Struthio camelus: one gene and its partners. The protein of the gene in region 1 interacts with the protein of each later gene in a biochemical or structural test. Links are inferred from orthologs where the notes say so. Each region holds a gene or a part of one and is shown in the gene's direction. Other genes may lie near its edges.

Evidence for each region.
Region 2: the proteins of NOTCH1 (region 1) and MAML1 form a complex in vitro, tested with the Homo sapiens proteins (2 studies listed by BioGRID). The link is inferred for Struthio camelus from reciprocal best matches to the Homo sapiens genes NOTCH1 and MAML1.
Region 3: the proteins of NOTCH1 (region 1) and NUMB form a complex in vitro, tested with the Homo sapiens proteins (2 studies listed by BioGRID). The link is inferred for Struthio camelus from reciprocal best matches to the Homo sapiens genes NOTCH1 and NUMB.

Annotation. Positions count from the first base shown.
Region 1 is NC_090961.1:3,758,951-3,766,171, reverse strand, and holds the start of NOTCH1 (neurogenic locus notch homolog protein 1), read left to right. Parts: upstream 1-4,201; 5' UTR 4,202-4,382; coding exon 4,383-4,440; intron 4,441-5,969; coding exon 5,970-6,051; intron 6,052-7,221. UniProt on the Homo sapiens protein: Functions as a receptor for membrane-bound ligands Jagged-1 (JAG1), Jagged-2 (JAG2) and Delta-1 (DLL1) to regulate cell-fate determination.
Region 2 is NC_090954.1:6,930,319-6,937,210, forward strand, and holds the start of MAML1 (mastermind-like protein 1), read left to right. Parts: upstream 1-3,886; 5' UTR 3,887-4,011; coding exon 4,012-4,380; intron 4,381-6,892. UniProt on the Homo sapiens protein: Acts as a transcriptional coactivator for NOTCH proteins. Has been shown to amplify NOTCH-induced transcription of HES1. Enhances phosphorylation and proteolytic turnover of the NOTCH intracellular domain in the nucleus through interaction with CDK8.
Region 3 is NC_090946.1:43,243,230-43,250,612, forward strand, and holds the start of NUMB (protein numb homolog), read left to right. Parts: upstream 1-4,377; 5' UTR 4,378-4,398; intron 4,399-7,383. Other genes in the region: RIOX1 (ribosomal oxygenase 1), read right to left, coding at 1,476-3,245. UniProt on the Homo sapiens protein: Regulates clathrin-mediated receptor endocytosis. Plays a role in the process of neurogenesis.

The DNA of each region.
Region 1 (7,221 bases):
GAGCTACCCACTTTGATTCATGTTTAATTACTGAACGTGCTTTTTTTGTGTGTGCGCGTGTGTTTGTGCGAGCGTGCATCATCAGGAAGAGGGCGAAACCTCAGCGCTGCTCGCGGTTCCAAAACGGGCAGGCAGAGGAGCGGCGAGCTGAGCTCCTCGCCGGGGCACCCGCTGCGACGCCTGCCTTACTCGTATTGCCCCGAATGCAGAAGAGCAAAACATTGATTGCGACGATCAAGGGATGAAAGTGTCACGAAGAAGTGGGCAACGCGCGTTACTCAGGCGATTGGAAGCTGCGCGGCTTGCCTTTAACAGGCATTTGCCATTAAAAAAAAACGCCTGTTTTTATTTAAATAGCCTGGGGCAAATTTCTCACTAAACCAACTTTCCCACGCCAGCCCAGTGCTCTAACTCTGGTTTTTGGCAAATTTTTTCCTGAGCTGTCAAGGCAAAATATATATAAGAATGCTGGTCTCACTTAGGTTTTTTTCCAGCCCCTGGAGACATGAAAATAATTTACAGATGTGCATTACCTGTTTATATTTGTACTAAGTTTTGCTTAACGGACATAATTTTCTTAGCTTGCAGTAACAAAAAAATATTCCCAGAGTTTCACTCATTTAATTTCAACTTATTAAAACTTTTAAACATGTGTGGAGGTTTTATGTTTTTAAATCACTAATCACATGGACGTGTGCCAAGGTTTCTATTAGAAGCGTTCTTACGAACGCTATTTTTAAAAGTACCTAAAATCCCATGATTTTTAACCCCCAAAGACCACTCAAAATGAAAAGTTTCTCTGGAGTTATGTCCTATTTACCGCTTATTGAAAAAAGATTTATGCTGTCCGCTGCCTTTTGCTTCCCGCTCCTTTTTTTTCTTTTGCCTTTGAGCTGGCGGCAGCAGCATGTGCGGGGCGGGTGTGGAAGAAGGAAGGGTCCCCGCGAAGACGCGCCCACCGGCAGATAGGCCCCTTGGAAAAGGGCTCCCGCGGCGGCGCCGGCTCGCGGGAGGCGTCATCCTCGTGCCGAGACGCTCGTGCCCCCCCGCAGCACCTGGAGAGACCAGAGAGGGGTTTTTTTTTCCCCCGGAAGGGCACCATGGCCGAGGCTCCCGCTGCCTCCGCGGGCACCGATACGGCGCGGAGCATCCCGCCGCGCTTCGGGCCCGCTCCGTCGGCGGGCAGGCAGCGGGCACAGCCGGCCCCGCCGGGCCTGGGCAGCGCTCGAGCCGGGGGAAGAAGCGCCCGAGCGCGGCTAGGCCGAGCGCGCGGTGCTTTCTGCGCGCGGGGAACAAGCCCGGGCAAAGGCAGCGCAGGCATTTCCAGGCGGGTAGAGCAGAGATGCTCCCTGCTAGCTGGGCTGCAGCGTGCAAAAGGAAAGGGGTGAAGACGGAGGGGAAGGGAGCAGAAATCTTTTATCGCCCAATAAACCAGAGCGGTGGGAGCGTCAGGTTTTTCCTCCTGCGGCGGGGGCTGCAGGAGGCGGCAGCCCCGAGCCGGCGGCGCTGCAGAGCGAGGGCGACGCGGGCACGTCGCCGGCCGAGCAGAGCGGGGCAGCGCCCGGCCGCCGGCACCGGCTTCGTGGCTGCGCCCCGGCGGAGACGCCCCGGCCCCCAGCCTAGAGGGGCGCCGAGGCCAAACCCTTGGCTCCTGTTGCCTCTGTTACTTGCTCTCCAAAGGCTCCGTGGGGCCGGCTGACGGCCCGGCCCTTGCCCCGGCTTTGCAGGGAGGCAGCACAGCAAGCAGCGTGTCTCCGCGCCGCTTACGAGTTTCGTAGCGCGGCTCGGACGGCCAGCGTGGAGCGGCACCGCGCGGAGCCCCGGCCCCCGGCCCGCGTTCGGGCGCCGGCGCGAGCGGCGAGGAGAGCGAGGGCAAAGCGCGGCGGCAGAGCAATAGCGCTGTAGGGCTCGTTCCTTTGATCTAGCGAACAGACTCTGCCCTTCGGTTTGTTTAATTGTTTCACACTTGCTCTGGAAATAATTTACAACAGGAAGCAGCGGGATAACACCAGGCCTGGCATGGGCCGGGACAGGGGCCGGGATGAGCCCCCGGGCCGCGGGGAGAGGTGCCCTGTGATGAGAGACACAGATGACGGTGTCACCTCCCTCTCATTAACCCTTTGCGGGCCCCGTCTCTTCTCTTTCTTTTTCCCATGCTTTGCACCAAACGCAGGCCAGCTGGCCCCGCGCCCCCCCGCCCCGGCCCGCGTTTGACGGTATAACCGGGAGCTGTAAAAGAGCCATTTGACGGCCCAGAATAGCCACGGCTTAATCAGCAGGGTCCCAGGGCGCTGCCGCACCTGGGGGCCTGCGGCAAGCTGCCAGCGTCTCGCCTGGGGAGGGAGGCGGCGGCGGCGGCGGCTCCCGCACGGCGCTGCTGATGGCCTTTCCCAGGGTCCCCCGCTGTGATGAGGGTCCAAGGAGAGCCAGGAGCCCCATGGCATTTAGGTGCCGTGTTGCCCGTGGGAGTTAGCACCCCAAATTGTCTGTGCTCCAAGCTCTCGCCCCTGGGTTTTCCGCCCTTGCGCCTGCTGCGCGGCAGCTTTCCCGGCATTGCCAACAGGCCACTGCGGCGCTCAGCGGGGCAACGGCCTCCCGGCAAGGCTCGCCGCGAGCCGGCGAGCTGACCCCGCGGTAACCCCGCGAGGAAGCAGTTGTCATTAGCACCCCCACACCGGCTGTTTCCGCCGGTGTTGCTCCACGGCTGGTACAACGCCCCGCCAGCAAGGAAACCCCCCTATAAGCGTAGCCCTCGGGTAACATATGCAAACAGGAGTTTAAACGCTTAAGTCTGCGCTCGGGTTGCTAAAGTTAACGGCAATATGGTTTCAATTTGTTAAGTGCCGTGATGGAGCGGGAACGGCTCGGGCCGCGCTGGGGTGCTCGGGACGAACCGGGCCCCGCCAGCACGCCCGCAGCGGGGGCGTTCGCCTCGTGCCGTTCCCGCGCGCGGCGCCCGGCGGGGGACCAGGTCCCGGGGACCCGCCGCCAGCACCGCCACCATCGGGCAGGGGTCTGGGGAGGCCGGGGAGAGGCCGCGGGGGCCAGCACGCGGCGCTGGCCGCGCAGGAAGCCTGCGCGCGCCTGGGGGTTGCTGGGGCTGCCTCCGAGGTTTGGCTTCCCTGCCTCTGCTCATCTGTTTGTTTATTTGTTGATGCAGCGCGTCGGGCTGGCCAAGGCTTTGCCTGCAAGTTCATTAGTTCACGGCGCAAAATAAACAACATCATCCCCAAGCTGTGCGCGTAACCGTGCGTGCAGGTATGTTAATGGCTGCTAGGAAGTGGCTTGGCGTATCTGTGAACACCTGCCTCGGCGAAAGCCACGATGCCGGGGCGGAGGGGGCACCCCGGGCACTGGGAGAGCCCGACCCCGCACTGCGGGGTGCCCGGCTCGCCCTGGCCCAGGGCCCCGGGAGGAGATGCTCAGCCCCGTCCTGGTCCCCCAGAGCAAGCAGGGGTGCGGAGCCCCCCCAGCCCCATGTGCACGGCGCACGGAGCAGGCGCTGCAGCCCGCCGGGTCTGTGCCCCACGGCTGGTGCCAGGCTGCTGTGGGCTGAGGGGCTGAACTGGGGGAGGATGTGTGGGGCTCTGCAGGGCCTGTACCAGCCTTGAGCAAGGGCCTGTGCAGGGACTGCCGTGGGGCTGCCCCGGGACTGTGCGAGGGGTGCGGGCGGGCGGCACTGGGGTTATATGGGGCTGGTGGGCAGGTCTACTGGGGGTGTCCTAGGGCTGCGCTGGGACTGTGCAAGGCGTGCGTGGGGGGCTGCACTGGAGGCGTGTAGGGGCTGTTAGGGGGCTGCACTAGGGCTGCACGAGGACTCCACGGGAGCTGCATGAGTGGGCTGCGCTGGGGCTGGGGACGGGGCGGGGGGGCTGCACTGGTGTTGTGCAGGGGCTGCATGGGGGGGCTGCACTGGGGCTGGGGACGGGGGGGGGAGCTGCACTGGCGCTGTGCAAGGGCTGCGGGGGGGGGCTGCATGGGTGGGCTGCACTGGGGGTGTGCAGGGCTGCACTGGGGGCGCCCCGCGGCTGTGCGGGGGCTGCATTGGGGGGGGGGGGCTGCCCCGGGAGGACTCCCCCCCCCCCCTCCCCGCCAGGCGGGCGCGGGCGGGGCCGGGCCGTCCCGTGCCGTGCCGAGCCGTCCCGCCCCGCGCCGTCCCGCCCTCCCTCGCCCGGCCCGGCCCGGCCCGCCGGGGCAGAGCAGCCGCGGGAGGCGCCGGGCGCTGGAGTCGCTGCGCTCTGGGCGCTGGGGCGCGGTGTGTCTGGGGCTCCCGGCGGGGCGGCGCGCACCGGGCACGGCTCGGCACGGCCCGGCTCGGCACGGCCGGCCGGTGCCCCGCGGATCTATGCGGCTGTGAGCGGGCAGGAGCCCCGAGAGCAGGGATGCAGCGGCTCCTGGTGCCCGGTCTCCTGCTGGCGCTGCTGCCCGCCCTGACGCGAGGTGAGGGGCCGCCGGGACGCGCCGGGCCCCGCTGCCGCCCACCGGAGCGGGCTCGGCACGGCGGGGCTCGGCGGCGCGGGGCGGCTCGGGGCTCCGCCGGGAGGAAGTTTGCAGCGAGCGCGGGAGGAGGAGGAGGAGGAGGAGCGGCGGCGGCGGGAGAGCGGCTGCCGCCCCGCGGGGAGCCGCGGCCGGACGCGCCGCGACGGGGCTCCGCGCTCGGTTGTCCCGCGGGGAGCGGAGCTGGAGCGGCACCGGGCGGGGGGGGGACCCGGGCTGGGCGCCCCGGCGGAGGTGCGCGGCGGGCGGGGGGGTGCGCGGGGCGCCGAGCAGCGCTCCCCGCTGTTGTTCCGCGAGAGCTTTCGGCCGTTTTGCAAATTTTTTTTGCTCGGTTTCCTGTTTCTTGAAAGTCACCTGGCTGCCTCGCCGGTCCCCTTCGCCGCCCCCAGCACCCGGGGCGGCTCCGAGTGCCTCGCCGCAAACTGCGGGGGGACCTTGGGGGACGGCTCGCCGGGCCCGGGGACAAGGACCCTACAAATGGCGAGAGCCCCGGGGCCCTGCCGTGTCCCCGGGTCCCGGGCGAGGGGCTTCGGCCGGAGCCGGGTGTTGCGGGAGCCTCCCGGGGAGGGGGAGCAGCGGGGCCGGTGTCGCCCGGCTCCGCACCGGGGCGGCCCGGACGGGGGCCCCGGCCCCGCAGAGGCGCAGTCCGCAGGGAAAGGTGCGGGGTCGGAGCAGCCCCCGGCGAGACCCCGCGAGGGGACCCGGGCTGGACCCCGCGCCGGAGACGCGTGGGGCTCGGCAGCCCTTCGGGGAGAAGTTTGGGTCTTGGCTGGCGGGGTGCGAAGCTGAAATTGCTGCGGTCTGAAAGTGCTCCGGCTGCGCAGCAGTGTCACAGAACCGGTTGCCGTGAAATGCTCGCGGAGGAAGAGAAGGGGAAGAGCGAGCTTTGGTAGAAATCGGAAGCGATTCTGGTACTTTCAGTGAGTTGCTGTGGTAACTGTGCAGAATTTGGCTCTGAGGGCCAGACATTGAAACCTTTACTCACAGTAAGTTGTGACGAGCGACTCATTTCGTTACCGAGTTAGTGATAACTCACGGGCCCTCGGGTGTATGGTTTTTTCCCAAATGGCATTTGTCACTCAAGGGCCTGACCTGTTTTTTTTCTTCTCTGTCAGTCCTCCTGTTGGCCCCTGGGGAGGGTACCGAGAAGGCAGAGTCCTAGTCTCAAAACCCACCACGAGTTTATTTTTAGGCGAGCCTTTCCCTGCTGGGAGCTGGGGCCGCGCGGTTGCTGCCTGCCTCTGCAGCCCTGCTCTGCCTGGAGAGCAGCCGCCGGGTCCTGCTTTTCACCACGGTGGCCACCAGGCTTCGGCGGGTGCTGCTGGCGGCGGCAGGTCACCTTCGCTCCCGGGCTCGCCCTGCCCTGGCGGAGCGAGGGGCGCCCGGCAGCCCCGACGCGAGGGGGCCCAGCAGCCTCCCCCTCGTGCTGCCCGGTGCCTGCCCTGTGGCTAACGCTCTCCTCCTCTTTGCAGGTTTACGGTGTACGCAGCTTGCCGAATCCTGCCTCAACGGGGGCAAGTGTGAAACTTTCCTCAACGGGACTGAGGTGTGCCAGTAAGTATGGAGGAGCCAGAGGGTTTTCATCTCCCTAGACCGAAGTATTGACGTGCATGTTGACTTTGCTTTGAAGGCTCTGGATTTAATAGGGCAAGATGCATTTTCATTCCTTGAGTGGCAAGAATAACCTGCTTGTGTAGGAGTCGCCACAAGTTGGGCAGGATTGGGCTTTGTTCCTGGCTGGGTGGAAAAACATGGGCAAAGGGCCACGTTTTGCTGGTGTTACTTATCCAGACTGCCCTGCTGATGCTGATGGAGCAGAAGCGAGGCCCCGGCCTGCGGTGCTCGTTGGACGGCGGGAAGGGGAAGGAGGTGGTCTGTCTCCGAGTTACTCCGGGCCCAGCTCCCTTCTACCTCGAAGTGCTGCCTTTTGGTCCCTTGCACCCCAGCATTTCTTAGTCCATTGCACAGTTCTCGGGACATCTCCATACACGTTTCAGGGGTCATTTCTTGCACGGCGCAGCCTGGGGCTGTGCTCTGGGTGGGCCATCGGAAAGGCAGGAAAGCAGGGCCACCTTCTCCCTGTAACTCTGCTGAAGCTGGTGCCAAGCTGAGGATCGAGCCCTTCTTGCAGGATCTGGCACACATGAAGGAGCTTTCTCCAAGCTGATTGTGGGGAAACGGATGTGTAAAATGTTGGGACTCTTTGAAGGACCATCCGACCCACCGCAGCGATGGCCGATTCACTCCAGGCTCCCAGGGAACAATAACCGAGAGAAATGAATAAGACTCCAGCTCCCTTTTTAAAACTATTCCATAAAAGAGATCTGAATGGGCAAGACTCTGTTTTCCGGCCAGATTTCCCCTCCGCCTGTTAAACGTGCCCTAAGCTGAGAGCAGGCAGGGAAACGTTCCCACCCACCCCAAACTTCCAAATAGGAAGTTCTCTCTGGGGAGAAACCTGAAGGCATTTCCAATCCCAACCTGTTGAATGGCAGTTTTCCTTGACAATGTGTGTTGCTTTTTGCAAATCTGCCTGGGCGCCGTTACTCTACCCAGTAGCTGGGCACCTCCCACCCCTTTCCTCCAAGCTGAGCCCCCCAACCCTTTGGTGAAAATAAATCAGCAAATCAATCAGGCACATGAGCAATTTAATGGACAAAGGCTGGGTCCCTTTGTGAGCTACTAATGAATGCACGCCACTTTTTTTTGCACAGAAGCCCTTAC
Region 2 (6,892 bases), on another chromosome or scaffold:
TTTTGGTTTTAAATACTTTTTTTGTTTTTAAGTAGATTGGTAGAATTTTGCCAGTCTCAAACCATGGCTTAATTTAATATATTAAACTAGTGAAAAATAATGATGAAAATCTTGAAAAATGCTAGATGTTAAAAGTGCAGTTTTATAACTAGTTTTTTTTACAAACATGTAAATTCCTAAATGCACCAGTGTCTTTATATCCCTTAAAGTTTGATAATTATGGTTAAAGAAAAGTTGTCAATATACCTGACAACCCCTTTTCCCCTCAAAGGAAAAAAACTGGGAGCAGGGTGGGATGCGTGAGGGAAAACTAGCAGGTAAAGTTTGTAATCAACTCTGTTCTTGGGGGGGAGGGGGGGGAAAAAGAAGGGGTGGAAGGAAGGAGTTAGACAGTCTTAGGGACTATGAGCATTGTCCTGGTTAAAGCCCACTTAAGTGTTGACGAATGATCTAGGATTTGGAATAGGGGAATAGGTCATCTTAATGTGGCGTGTAATCCTGCAGAAATTGGATTTTGTTAGTCCTTGAACTCTTCCCATAAAGCTGAAGGGTTATTGGGGGTATTTAGACTATTTTTCCTTTTCCCCTCTGTTCAGCCACTGCTCTCCTTTCTTTGTGACTGTGCAGCTTTTTCCGAGTGCAGCTTTGCCTCAATTGCTGAGAAGTATGTCATGTTCAGCTCCTTGTTAGACTTTCCATAGCTAGGCCTACTCCTTTCCAGGGTCCGAACACTGGATAGGACAGTGTCCCATATCCTCTCACTGCTATCACTGTGTGTCTGCTCCTGTAGAAACAGGAGAGGTGGTCAGGTAGGCAAGTTGAACTGAATTTCTAAGAAAAATCAAACACAAACAAGATGTCAGTATTTGTAGGTGGGGAAGGAGCATGTGGAATATCTTACCTGGTATGTGAAACTGTTTGAGTCTTTTTATCTGCTATTCATGTAACAAACGCATCCTAAATTATATTGTGAATGTTAGGGAGTTCCAATTCCAGCTGAATAAATTTTTAAGTGTTGAGTCTACAATATTATACTGTTTCAAACACTTTTTTTGTGGAATGCAGGTGATCACTACAAGAGCATACCTCTGAGGGTGGAATCTGTGTAGCTTCATTACACTGTACCAAATATGCTGGAGTTTGGATGTCCATATAGAAAGCTTTTTTTGCCTTTGTTTAGAGTGAATTAAATGTCCTAAAATTACTCTTCTTGCACTGAATATAAACACTCCAGTGTTGTTTGGGCTAGGTCATAGGTATTGTGTGGGGAATAACTCCCGGGGGTGGGGGAGGAAAGTGTTCTGATTACCTTGCAGACTAACCAGTTACTAAAAGATTTGTTTTTTGGGTTTTTTTTTTTGTGAAACACCTTTTGCTGCCTGTCCTCATGTTGTATCCTTTACTTGTTGTGTTGGAAATACTAGACACCACAAATGCATAACAGGATTTCTTGCTCTTTCTGCAGTGTGCAAATAAACTATTGTAAGCAAGATACTGGAAGTAATTTCAGACTTCTGTTGGGAGCTATTGCATGTTTAGAATGCCTTTTGCCTGTTGAACACCTGGTAAATACTGCTCCTTTTTGCCAAAATAGCTTATACTCTGACATGGAAGATGTCATAGCTTAAGCATTGCTACTAGCTTGTTCTCAGGACTGTATTTTTATCAAGGAGCAGCTGCTATTTATGACTCTCAGTCCTTGGAGATGGAGTATATGTGAATGGTTTCAAGTCAGCTAACAATTCTGAGCACAACATAAATCTGTTAATCTAATCAGTGTTTTTTATCTTAATATGCAAATTGCCTTAAATTCCTGGACAGTTCTTGTGCGTACATGTTCCTTTCAAAGCATCAAAAATGAACTTAAGATCTGCTCTCAGCTTTTTGAGTAGTATTATAGTAAAGCTAACTATGTACACCTACGTTTGCTTGTGCTAGATTTTCTGAAAAGGTCTCCTGTCTGCATGTTATGCATTTTTTGATACCTTAGTGTATGCTTCTTGAGTAATCACTACAATAAATGAAGACTTTCCAAAGTGGATAGACAACTTAAAGGTTACTTTTTATCCTGCATTCTCACTTGGGTGGCTCAATTTAACATTAGAATCGCCTTTTTTTTTTTTTAATTCCTTGGAGCAAAAGTAGCTATCTCTTTATTCAGAATAAAGAATGCCTGTAAAGCATGGCAGCGTTTTCCAAGTACTGCAGCTCTGCTTGGTTGCTACCTGTGAGCTAGGTTTGAAACACCTTCAAGTATGCGAAGGTGTATTTGACTGTGTGGGGGGGTGCGCGTGTGTGTGTGAGGGCTGCAGCTGCTGGAGAGCATGAACTCCCAGAAGTTGAACTTGCTGTGTCTGGGGTGAGGGAGGGGTTTTAGGCTGAGATTAATCAAGAAGGAACAAACATCAAGTGTGCTTATGGGCAGTTAGATATCTGGAATACAGGATACTAGAAATGCTGAAGCCTTTTCTTTTTTTTTCTTTTTTTTTTGTCCTGGAACCTGGTGCTCAGTGAAGGGAGTTGGTGCCTACTAACCTGCTCTAGAAATATAACCAAATAGGAGCTGTCCTTGCAGCTCTGATAATGCTGAATTATCACAGCTCGAGAATGTGGGCTGTACAATGTGCTGAGACTGTCTGTGTCGGGTTGGGATCCTCGCAGGAGCCAAGTGCTCGTGGAGGGGTCTGGGGTTGTGGTTGTCCCTCGCTTTCTGTTCTCCTTCTGCCAAAGCAGCGCTCCCCTTACCTGGTGGTGGCACAGGCAGGGCTGTTGCCAGGAGTCTCCGCATCCTCAAGCCTTTCCTCGTTAATCTGTAGTTGCCAATATTGCCTCAAGGTTTCAAAAAAAAAAAAAAAAAAGCAATGAAAAAACCTTGGTGTTCGTAAACAAGGACTGTGACTTCTTCTGTGCAAAAGACCTGTCCATTTCAAAAAGGTCACTGTAGATGCAGTATGCATATATTAAAACCTGAATAAATTATAATGTAAAATTAATCAATAAAGAAACTGAAATCGCTTTGGCTGCCTCGTCTAATTAGCTTGAAGGGGCTTAAGTCTTGATCGCGTTTGTTGGTTTTTTTTGACGGGAACAAGTTGTGATTGGGACCCAGCTGTCCACAAGCCCTGAAGAAAAGGGGGGGAGGGAAAGAGAGAGAGGTTACAGCTGCCTGCTCGGGGCAGGGGCGCGGGGAGGGCGTCGCTGCCCCGCTCTGTCCGGGCGAGGGGGCGCCCGGCCGGGGGGGGGGGAGCGCCCGTCACTCACTCCTCAGGCCCCGCCCACGGCGCGCGCCATTGGCCTCTCTCCAAGCCCCGCCCCCGCCGCTTCCCGGCCCCTGCCTTTTAAACGCGCCGTCGGCCGCGTCCTGCCGGCCGCCTTGCCCGCCCACGCCTCCGCGCTCCCCCCCGCCCTCCCATTGGCTGGCGGCGATGTCCCTCAGCGCTCGTGACGCGCGACGCGAGCGTGACGTCGCCCGCCACCCAGGAAGCTCCGCCTATTTATTCTCAACTCGGCTCTTGAGGGGAAAAACAATTTCAAGATGGCGGCGGCGCGGATAACAATGGGGAGTCGGGGGTTCGGGCCGGCCCGCGCCTGAGAGCAGCGGCCGCCGGGCCCCGCCGCGCCCGGGGCAGCGGAGCGGGCCGCGGCCGGGCCGGAGGGCGAGCGGGCAACGGCCGCTGCGCAGCGCAGCGCCGGCGGAGGGGGAGCGGCGCCGCCGCACCGGCCTCGGGGGAGAAGGAGGAAGTGGGGCGGGGGGGACGCCGCGGGGAGCGGGCCGGCGTCGGGGCCGGGGCCGGGGCGGGGGCGCGGTGGGCGGGCGGGCGGGCGGGCGAGCCCAGGTAAGGCCGGCGGCGAAGGGGGCGGGCGGCGAGGCCGGGCAAGGCCCGAGGGGGGGAGCCCCGCGCCCGCCCTGCGCGGCGCCCCCGCCATGGCGGGGGGCGGCGTGAGGAGCCGGTGAGCGGCGGCAGCGGCGGCCTCCCCCCACACCACCCCCCCCCCCTTGCGCTCCGGTCCATGGTGCTGCCCCCTTGCCCCATGGCGGAGTTCGTGGTGCCGCGGCACAGCGCGGTGATGGAGCGGCTCCGCCGGCGCATCGAGCTCTGCCGGCGGCACCACAGCGCCTGCGAGTCCCGCTACCAGGCCGTATCGCCGGAGCGCCTGGAGCTGGAGCGCCAGCAAACCTTCGCCCTGCACCAGCGCTGCCTGCAGGCCAAGGCCAAGCGGGCCGGCAAGCACCGGCAGCCTCCCCCGCCGCCGCTGCCGCCGCCCGCGCCCCCTCCGCCGCCCGCCGCCGCCGGCAGCGCCGAGAGGAGCGGGGCCAACGGGCTGGACGCCGAGGCGGCGGGCGGCGAGCAGCACGGCCGCAGCAGCACGCTCATCGCGGTAAGCCGGGGCCGGGGGAGGCGGCGGGCGGGCGGGCCGGGGCCGGGGCCGGCCGGGCCGAGCGGCCGTGCCTGCGCGGGTGCCGCTTAGCAGCCGGCACGGGCTGCTTTATTTTCCCTCCTGTCATCTCTGCGCGCTGGAAGAGTGCGCAGAAAACGGTCTGATGAGGAGGAAGCGGGGGGGGGGGGGAAAGAACTTGCATGCCTCTTTTTGCCACTGTTAGGGCCGTTCCGAGCGGCTTTCTGTGCAGCCTGCTGAGTTGTGGTTCTGGCTATTTCACCGAAATTGTCTCTGGAGGAACTGTCAGGGGAACACTAGTACTGCGAGGCCTATGGGATTTTTGTTTGTTTTGTTTGTGCCTTAGTTTAGGCTGTGGGAGTTTAGCGGGATCGCTGCATGAGGACACTTTTTTTTTTTTTTTTTTACTGATACATATATTTTGGATAATGTCTCCACTAATTCTGCTGCATACTGGAAAGAATTTTAGTGGAATGGTATTGGAAGGGCAGCTGCTTATTTGCCGCTCCGTAGTGGGTGTGAACACTACGGGAATCCCACTCCACCCATTAAAAAACTGGCTTAACCCAAAGTCTTCATGTTTCTCTGGCTTCTCTAGCATTTCTAGTTGTCAGGATATATTCATACAGCTGTGTTTGTATATTAAGATAGCTATTGCCTATTGCTTAACTTACTCTGTGCCCTTTAAAGGTACTAGGCTATACTAATGTGTCGGTAATGTAGGTTAGTAGGATAACCTCACAGAGGTTGCCCGCTTTCTTTCACGAAAGCAGGTATTTCTGCATGGTGACCTGCCTGAAAATGATACAATGCTGCTGTTTTGAACGCCTTGAAAACGTGGTGCTGGCATTAATATGATACGTTTTCAAGTTAACATATACGTTAAATCATGTTTTTAAGATGGCCTATGTGTTTTGAGTTTTTGAGCATGATCAAATTGGAACAGAAGAAGGGAGGCTGTGATTCTCTACTGTCTTGGATCTCACTTGGCTGCAGACTTTAAAATAGTATCACAGTAGCACTTACTGTGTGCTTGTACTGTACATGATGTGGGGCACGCTGATGTCAGCTTTAACGTAACTAGCGCTAGACAAGCATGTGCGTGGTTTGTAATATATGCAATGTGAAATGAAAGTGTTTGGCCGAATTGCTTCTGTTGGTAACATACCTATGAGAATCTAGGACATGCAGGCTTTTCTGAAGACTGGAATCCTTGTGATATCGTTATAGCGCTCATACAATAGAGAAAGAAAAGTCTCGGAGGAAGAGCGTACAGTGATTCTGTAATGCTTTCTGGGTACCTGTTGTTTGGTAGGCCGATCTTGAGTGTAAATTGTGTCAGAACTCAGATGACTCAAACTCATGTTTTGTTACCCGAAGACTTGATGGAATTTCTGTTTGCTTCCTTTCTGGGCTCTGAGTTTTTTTTTGTGTATGGGGCTCTAACCATTAATAATGTGTATTTTTGTTATACACACACAGAGTTCTTTAAGCAACAGGATTTGACACGTTAAACTGCCACCATGCTGCTTCAAATTGATTGATTCTCTAAAAGAAAGATATCTCTGATTCATTGGTGGCATTTCTTCCAAATTGCTTTGGATGTGGATTTGATCTCATTAGCATCCATTATAATGAGGACTCTCAGCAGCAGTGTGGTTTTGAAATACAGTGCACATCTGGGGAAGCCCTTCTTGTGCAGGAAGCTGCTGCCAGTGGCCAATTTACACAACAGAAGAGGATTTTAGTGTATGAATGACTCTTCCTCGTGCTGGCCTGCTGTTTCCTTCCTAGGATACATGACTGTAAGCTTAATTGCAGTTGCTGATTCATCATCTCGTTACTAGGGTATAAAGTTGGTAATTCAAGTTTGGAAAAAAAAAAATAGCACAACGACAACAAACCTCTGCTGCTAATTTCATTCCTTTAGGATAAAGGGTTCCTCTCTAACCCAGAAGTTGATGTTTTACCACTAGCAATCATGTAACTGTTGTCAAGACTAAGCATGTGCTGCTGTGTGTAGGGGAAGGACGTGGATATGGTTTACAGTGTTCAGTAAACTTCTGGATTACCACCAAAATTATCTTGTTTTTAAAATATCCTGGGCACATTCCTTTCAAAAGAATGCTACTGGGACAATTAAACTTGCATTGTATCAATAGTCCTATTATAACAGCACTATTGCTGCTGTTATGATCAGGAGTTTTCCATAAAGCTCCATGTGAATCTTCTCTTAGAAACTAGTGCTCTGTATTGGACGCTAACGAAGCACTTATTTTGGTCTTTCAGAGAGAAAGCAGTTTGTGTAAATAAAGATATGTGAGCTGCCAAATGATCTAGCATCTGATGGCTTGCAGCGGAAGGACCTGAAGCTACACTTGCAGCAAGTGTCATACAGTGCCCAGTGTATGCACTCCCTGTTGCTCTACTTGGCAGCTTCAGACTAGCTGGGGGAACAGGATGAGCACCACCGCTTCCTTTATAGCATGTTATA
Region 3 (7,383 bases), on another chromosome or scaffold:
TTCTGCAACTGCCTAGGAACTACATGAGGTTCAATCTGGTACTCTTACGCCAGGGCATGGCCAGGCATAAGGTCACAGTATTTACCATCTCGGAGAAAATATCTAAGCTTGGGGGTGGGGAGGGAAGCACATGAAAACTAACAGGCATTTAAAGTTTTCCACAGAGCATTAGGTACATCTGATTAGGTATAGAAGAAACATAAATCGCACTCATTGTAACTTTTCTATATGCCACAATAACTTAGCTGCCTCACAGGAAGCATCATTTCTTTCTTAGCAAAGGAATTCCAGGGAAGTGGGGGACACCTTCCACAAAAAGCGTCAGCAAATTTATCAGGTGCTTTCACATCTGAAGATTTAAATTAACTTGCAAGACTTTGAACTATTGAGGTAAATAATCTCACCTAGGCTTCTCCCATGACACGTCAGAGTGAAACAAACGTGCTGTGACTTGTATGGCCCAAACAATAGTTTATTTATTTGCACCAAATATAATTTTTCAATTAAGAGAGAGGACTTACTGTCACACTCACCTGCCAATGTATTTGATCCAGATTTTCAGGCTAAGCCAAAAGGACTTGGTGACCCAGAAACTACTGAAACTTGAAGAGGTTACGGACTGGCTGCGGCAAAAGGCCAATCGAATCTGTTGGAGCAGGGAGGACCTTGACTCTGAATGCGAAGACATCCTGGAGAGGATCACTGCTGTTTTTCAGTCCACTCCTGGTAATTCTAATACAAAAGTTTTAGAGCTATTTCTCATCTGAACTACGCCAGTACAGAAGAAAACATCCCTTGGTTTTCTGAGCTCCCTCTGCAGCGAGAGGAGGCACTACTAGTCAGTCAGTAGCTCCCTAACAGGCACAGCAAAATTATGTAAGGTTCATGCATTCAGATTCATGAAAGCCAAATTCTGAAGTAGCATATGAAGGTCAAGGGAGAACTTATCTTCTGTGCAGAAAGCCTTCACCACCCTCCATCCCAGCTGCCTTTCCAAACCCCTAACCCTGACACAAGGAAAAACAAACTGTTAGAGAATGCCCTATTCTAATTCAGTCCAGCTAGCCCAAATTTCGGCATGGCTCCTAGGTGACCATCCGCAAATATGTCTTTAAGTAATGAGAGTACTTCCCACAGTAACACAGGCTGCTTTAAAACAGTGTAAGCACCCAGCTGATCTGCAGACTGCAAAAAAGTTCACTAGCTTCCTGAAGTTACCTAGGATGCAGTAATATGGTTGGCAAAAACAAATTAAGCACCCGTCTTCTCTAGTCACTTAACCGTGCACAGTTCAACAGAAGACACTTTTTTAATGAGAACAATGTTTGATTTGTCTACCCAGGTCAAAGCCCTTCTACCCTCAGATCAGAAACGGAGATCCAAAGCGCTGATTCACACTCAGCAGCAGACGTAAGGTAAGAGCAGGAGACAATACTTTATAAACAACTCTATGTTTATTTTGTTCAAGAATAGAGCTACACTTGCACCAGAGGCTTCTTAGTAGTCAGAATGCCCTTCTCAAACAGGAGTGTGGCTACAGAAATCTTGTCCTCCAAGGTTTCACATGGAAGGGTATCCACACTGACATGGTTTGGATAAGAAGACAGGAGAAATTCAATACTGTCTGTATACTCGGGATCTATCTCAAGGGACTTGCACTCTTCTTTATGATACACTCGTGAGTTTTCTGTCGTGTAATACAGCATCACACCAGCTTCCTCATTGCACAGTCTAATGATGCCATGCCGGAGGAGGCGTACTTCTGTGTCTTTCGTTATTAGTATATCGACGTCGCGGGTGCCTCCATCTTGCCACCGGGCTGGAAATCCATACACGCTCAGCGCCTTTTCATTTTGTGTTAGCACCGGGGGGAGACAGTCGTGAAGAAATGACTTGGCTCTCTGATCCACGGCAGCATCAATAGGCGCATAGTCGATAAGTTTCTTTATCAGACTCTGCACCTTCTCCACAAAAGCTGTTCGGCGAGCATCGACTACGTCCGAGTTGGCGACCCCCATGTATCCCAGGTAGTCCATGGGAAGCCCTTGCCGGTACTCCACGTCCTCCTCCAGGGCCATCTGCAGAGCAGCCGGGAGGAGCTTCTCCAGGAGGTCGCCCCAGGAGTTCCTCTGGTAGGACGACACCGTGATGTGGAGCGAGTGCGCATCAGGAAGACAGTCACCCTGGTGGATAAACCCCCGGGGGAAGTACAGCAGGTCCCCGGCCTCCAGCACCGCCTCCAGAACGGGCTCGCCGAGTTCAGCCTGTGTGAGGTTTGCGCTGGAGAACTGGGGCAGCACCTCGGCTCCCGTCCGGGGGCCGTAAACGCGCCAGTGCTTCTTCCCCTCCAGCTGCAGCACGAAGGCCTCGATGTCGTCGTAGTGGGGGGCAAAGCCCTGCGTGCCCGGCGGCGTGAGGTAGGTGTTGGCGCCCGCCATGCTCCCGAAGTGCTCCTGCAGGATGGAGAGGAACTGCCAGACGGTGGTGGAGAAGGCCTGGGGGCAGAGGAGCCGCAGGGAGCACCCGTTCTGGTAGAAATCCCAGACGACGGCGGGCAGGGCCCGGCCGGCGGGGTTGTGGGTCTCCCGCACGCCCTCGGCGTAGCTGGTCACGTCCAGGTGGGTGCCGAAGCGCACCTCGCCGCTCCGCAGCGCGGCGTCCAGCTCGGCCGTGGAGAACAGCCCCGCGTAGTAGCCGGGCTCGCCGCGCCGCACCAGCAGCGGCGCCCGCTCCCAGCGCCGCGCCACGAACTCCCGCGGCGACACCGGCGCCAGCAGCCACCGGAACAGCTCGGCCGCCCGCTGCCGGCTGTCCTCCAGCCGCCCCAGCCGCGCCAGCAGCCCCGCCACGCCGCCGCCGCCCTCCGCCGCCGCGGGGCCGGCCGGGGCTGGGCCCGGCCCCGGGCCCGGCGCGGGGCTCTCGGCCGGCGGGCCGCCCGGGCCCGGCGTGGGGCCGCCCGGGCCCGGCGTGGGGCCGCCCCGCCGCTTCCCCGCGGGGCTCTCGGCCGCCGCCTGGGCCCGCTGCAGGCGGCGGGCGGCGGCGGGGGGTGACGGCGCCTTGGCCGCCGCCTCCGCGCCTTGGCCGCCGCTTCCCGCCGCGCCGCGCCTTGGCCGCGCCTTGGCCCGCTTGCTGCGGGCGGGCAGCGGCCGCCCGCCGCGCCGCTCCAGCCGCCCGGCCCCCGCCGCCCGCCGGTACACCGAGAGCGCCGACACCCGGCGCCGCTCCTCCGCGCCGCCCGCCGCCATGGCCGCGCCGCTCCGCCCCCGCCGCCGCCGCTTCCGCCGGGGCTGCCGGCCACGCGGGGGCTGCCCGGCCGTGCGTGGGCCCGGCGAGGGTACGTCCGTGCCTAAGGCACAAAGCAGAGACTAAAAGTGGTTTTTTTTTTTGTTTTGTCCTGCCTTCTTGGCCCACAGACAGCGTTTGGGTATAAAGGAACCACCTGATCTCCCCAGGGCGTCTGGCCGGACAAAAACTTTCCCCGCCCCCCTTTTCTTTTCCCGCGCGCGGAATTTCACGTGCCCGCAGCGCTGGGGGCGCGCCCCGCCCCACGCCGGGCCGCCCAGGCGGGGGGCTCCCGGGGAGGTGAGCGCCTCGGCCTTTATGGGGACAGCTGCCTGCCTGCCCGAGGAAGGACTTCACCGGGAAGTGTGCTTGTGCTGCTTTATAAAATTTAATATCTTACATTTTCTCATAACATCTGCTTAAAACGTGAAGCTTATTTGTGCCCCCACTAAGAAGGGAAAGGTAAGGCAAGTGCCGGAGGAACCTGACTCGCGTGGGCGTGTGTTCCCTGGCTGCAATGCTGCTTTCCATAGATGCGCTATAAGCATCTCTAGAAAAGATTTTCCAAAAGGTGTATCATAAAGATATTGTTTTGGACGATATGCAATTACTTTACACTCTAATAGGGTCAGATGAGGTCAGACTACTTCATAAGGCTCTGCTACACAAGGAACAGAAATCAAAGTTGGATGGGGTCTAATTCTGGTTTGTCTTCCCTCCTCCTCCCCCTTTCTTGTGTTTGTAATGCAGATGCCAGGTGAAAGGCTACATCCTCTTGAAGGATCTGCAGAACCAAAACGCTGTCAGGTCATACCGTGGTTTTTTGCCAAATCCTTTAACTGCGTAATACTCTGCACACACCTTTGTCTGTGCTCTCCCCATCTCTCTCCTAGACCTGAAGCTTCCCGGCGCAGCGCTGTCGGCGGCCTTGGAGGTGCTCTGGCAGCCGGAGGGCTCTCGGCCGGCCGTTTCAGACGCTGCAGGTTCGGCAAAGGAGGCTACCGCAGCGCAGAGGGCAGGTGACGTAACCAGCGAGATTCAACTCGTGGAAAACGTGGAGAGCTGTAAGGATTGTCGTTGTCGTGCTAGGCTGACGTTCTTCTGCTCAAGAACAAGGTGCCATACTTTTGTGAGGAAAAATCTTTGATGGAGTCAGATAATTTATGAGAACAGATTTTGCGTAAGAATTTTGGCTCCTCCTGTTAGCCTAAAGCATTTAACTGGAGCAATTTAGCCAAGTGTGCTCAGCAGCATTCTGGCTTACAAGGGTGTTATCAGCATCTCACAGAGGAACGTATCAGCGTCACACCATATGTTAAATAAGCAGCTAACGTTCACAAGGCATGCTCAGGTCTGCTGTGTGCGCCACTTAGCATAACAGGCCCAGGACACACAGCCAAAGAGTGAATTTTGACCTTTTTTAACTTCAGCATTGTCAGGATTTCAACTCAGGTCTGTATTTAATTTTTCACAGAGTTCAAGAGCATTCATAGCAGAAATCATTAGTTAGGCCATAAATAAGGATGAGTTCAGCTCTTAAGTCTAATTCTGGAACAGATTCAGACATCTTAATGGTTTAAGATTTTTTGGTTTGTCTAAAAAAACCCCAAATCAGCCTCTCGTTTAAACAGTGTTGACGGGGTGCACTTGCCAGCAGGGGTGCACTGGCACTTTTATTTGCAGCTCCTGGTTTGTGTCCACACTTAAGATGATGAGCCCTAGTTTGGAGGTCGTTGTTCCTCGGGGGGGGGGGGGGGGGGGGGGAGAGCACTGTCCCGCATGTGCTACAAACGTACAATGGGAAAATGTCTGCAAGTTGTGCTTTACATTGGTATGTGAAGAAGTAAAACGTTAGGAGTTTCAGCTTCTGTTTTGATACAACAGGCCCAATTCTGTCTCAGCAAAGCCAGGTGATGTAAACTAGGACTTCCTGTCCCATTGAAAATAAACTCTGATACATCTCCATTGGTTGAAACGCACATCTCGGCCAACACTTGTGTACATGATACAGATTGCGTAACTGTAACGTGTCTGTGGCTAGTCCCAAACCATGTTACTTGGCCATGATACTGCTGCTTGCTCAATCCTGCCTTTTCAGAATGCTGCTATACTTTTAATCTTAAGTGATTTCAGATGTGCACCCAAATTTATTTGGAAATATCATAGATATCTTAAAGGAATCTAAATCATCTATGAGAAGTAAAAAGATACATACCAGCTGGTGAGAATTCAGTGGAAGCCAGGTTCCTCTAATAAACCATTATAAAGCTGGTTTTGAAAAAACATAGATTTGGGAGGTGAGAAAGCTTTTCTTTGCTTCCGCATCTCATCAGCGTGTTAGAAGTGGCCGAGACAGATGTTGTATGAATGCAATGCAACTATTTTCATTTCGGGTGTGTTTTTTCTCTGTACTTTTTCTGCTGGTGCAGCCTTTAGAACAAAAGCTGTTACACCTGTGTGGGAAGAGCAACAACAGCAGAAAGCTGTTCTGTTGAACTGCAGTGGTTTAGGTGAAAGAGTCCAATTTGTGTGCATAGACGGTATTTTGGCCTTGGGTTTCTTGAACGTGTCACGCTTCGCCAGTAGGGGGCAGATACAGAACAGTGGTTGAATGAAAACAGCACATTTACTGGTACTTGGTATTGTGCTAGGAAAGACTTCCTAAAAATATCAGAACGTGAATATAGACTTTGCTTAGCAAGATTACTGGTTTGGATGGCTTAAAATGTGAGGAAAGCGAAAGCTGTCTGTGTGTGCATGTGTATGCCCGAAGAGAAGGAAGGGTGAACTCCGTATTTCAAATCATTCTTTGTTTTCCAAGGTTAAGCCCTGCGTACCGGAATAATCTTATCACTTGAAACTGTTTCAGCAGAACTGGGCCCTTAACAAAACCAAGATGCAAACTCTTTGAAATATGGTAGAAGCTAGACTATTGTGTGCTGTAATTATATGTAAGCCTGGCTAAATAGGCTTTGGCGGGGGAATGACATTTGAAAAATCTGGCCTTCTGAGTTACTGCTTAATTTACTCTAGTGCAATTGATTCTTCTCTGGCACTGAACACTTTATGTAAAGTCTGATCTGAGTTACACCAGAATAACTTTAATGATTACAGCAAAGTTGCTCTGGATGTTTACCAGTACAGTGAGCTCAAAGTCTCATTGTAGGGCTCTGATCTTAACATGAATGCCACTTTCTACCACTGCAAGATGATAGACATTGGATTTGTTGATATATAACAAAGTCTGAAAGTGAAGGACATGGTGAAAAATAATGGTGGTGAAATCTCTCTAATAATAACATGTTTCTTGTGACAGTTTAGCCTTTCTCATATTAAAGGCTTTCAAGAATAAAGAAGAATTTTTGCTTTTTTTTTCTGTGCAGCACATGAAAGGATTTTGACCTAAGGCAGAAAGAGAGAGCTTCAATATCACTTTCAGAGTACTTAGATGGTTGTCTGGGAGTAGCCAAAAGCTCTACATGCTATTTTCATTCACTGCCCAATATTTCAAGGAAATTTCTCATAAGGGAAGAACAGTGTCACAAAGAACTCTTTAAATAAACAAAAGGAAAGTAGCACAGATCTCTTAATGATTAGGTGGTCCCCAGCTGCTGCTCACATAGACATAGTAGCAACTCGAGGCTCAATTAAACTTCTTAATTAGAATTTAGCACAAAATTACTCAGATTTTATGAGCGCATAAGCTTCATTGCCAAGAGCTACACACATTTTATTGAAGAGGACACAAAAAAGGTAGTGAGTACAACTTACTAAGGAGCCGCAAATGACTTCTGAAGAAAGATGTAAACAGCACCTCCAAGAGATGTAGTGTTTATTTGATAGTTTGACCTTATTCCATTAACTGCTCAAAGAATTGAAGTCCTGAGTTTAAAGAGCAGTTCAGACAAGGCCTGATCCTGCAAAGGTATTAGCAGTCTTCACCAACCAGTGGAAAGAATAAAATTCTTTGCAGGATTGAGCCTGTGTCACATTTTTCACTTCTCTGTGCATTGGATACGCAATTGTTCTGCATAATGCAAATTGTCCAGCACATTCTCTTTGTTCCTGGCAAACCATTAATGTAAATCAGTCACTTTTTGA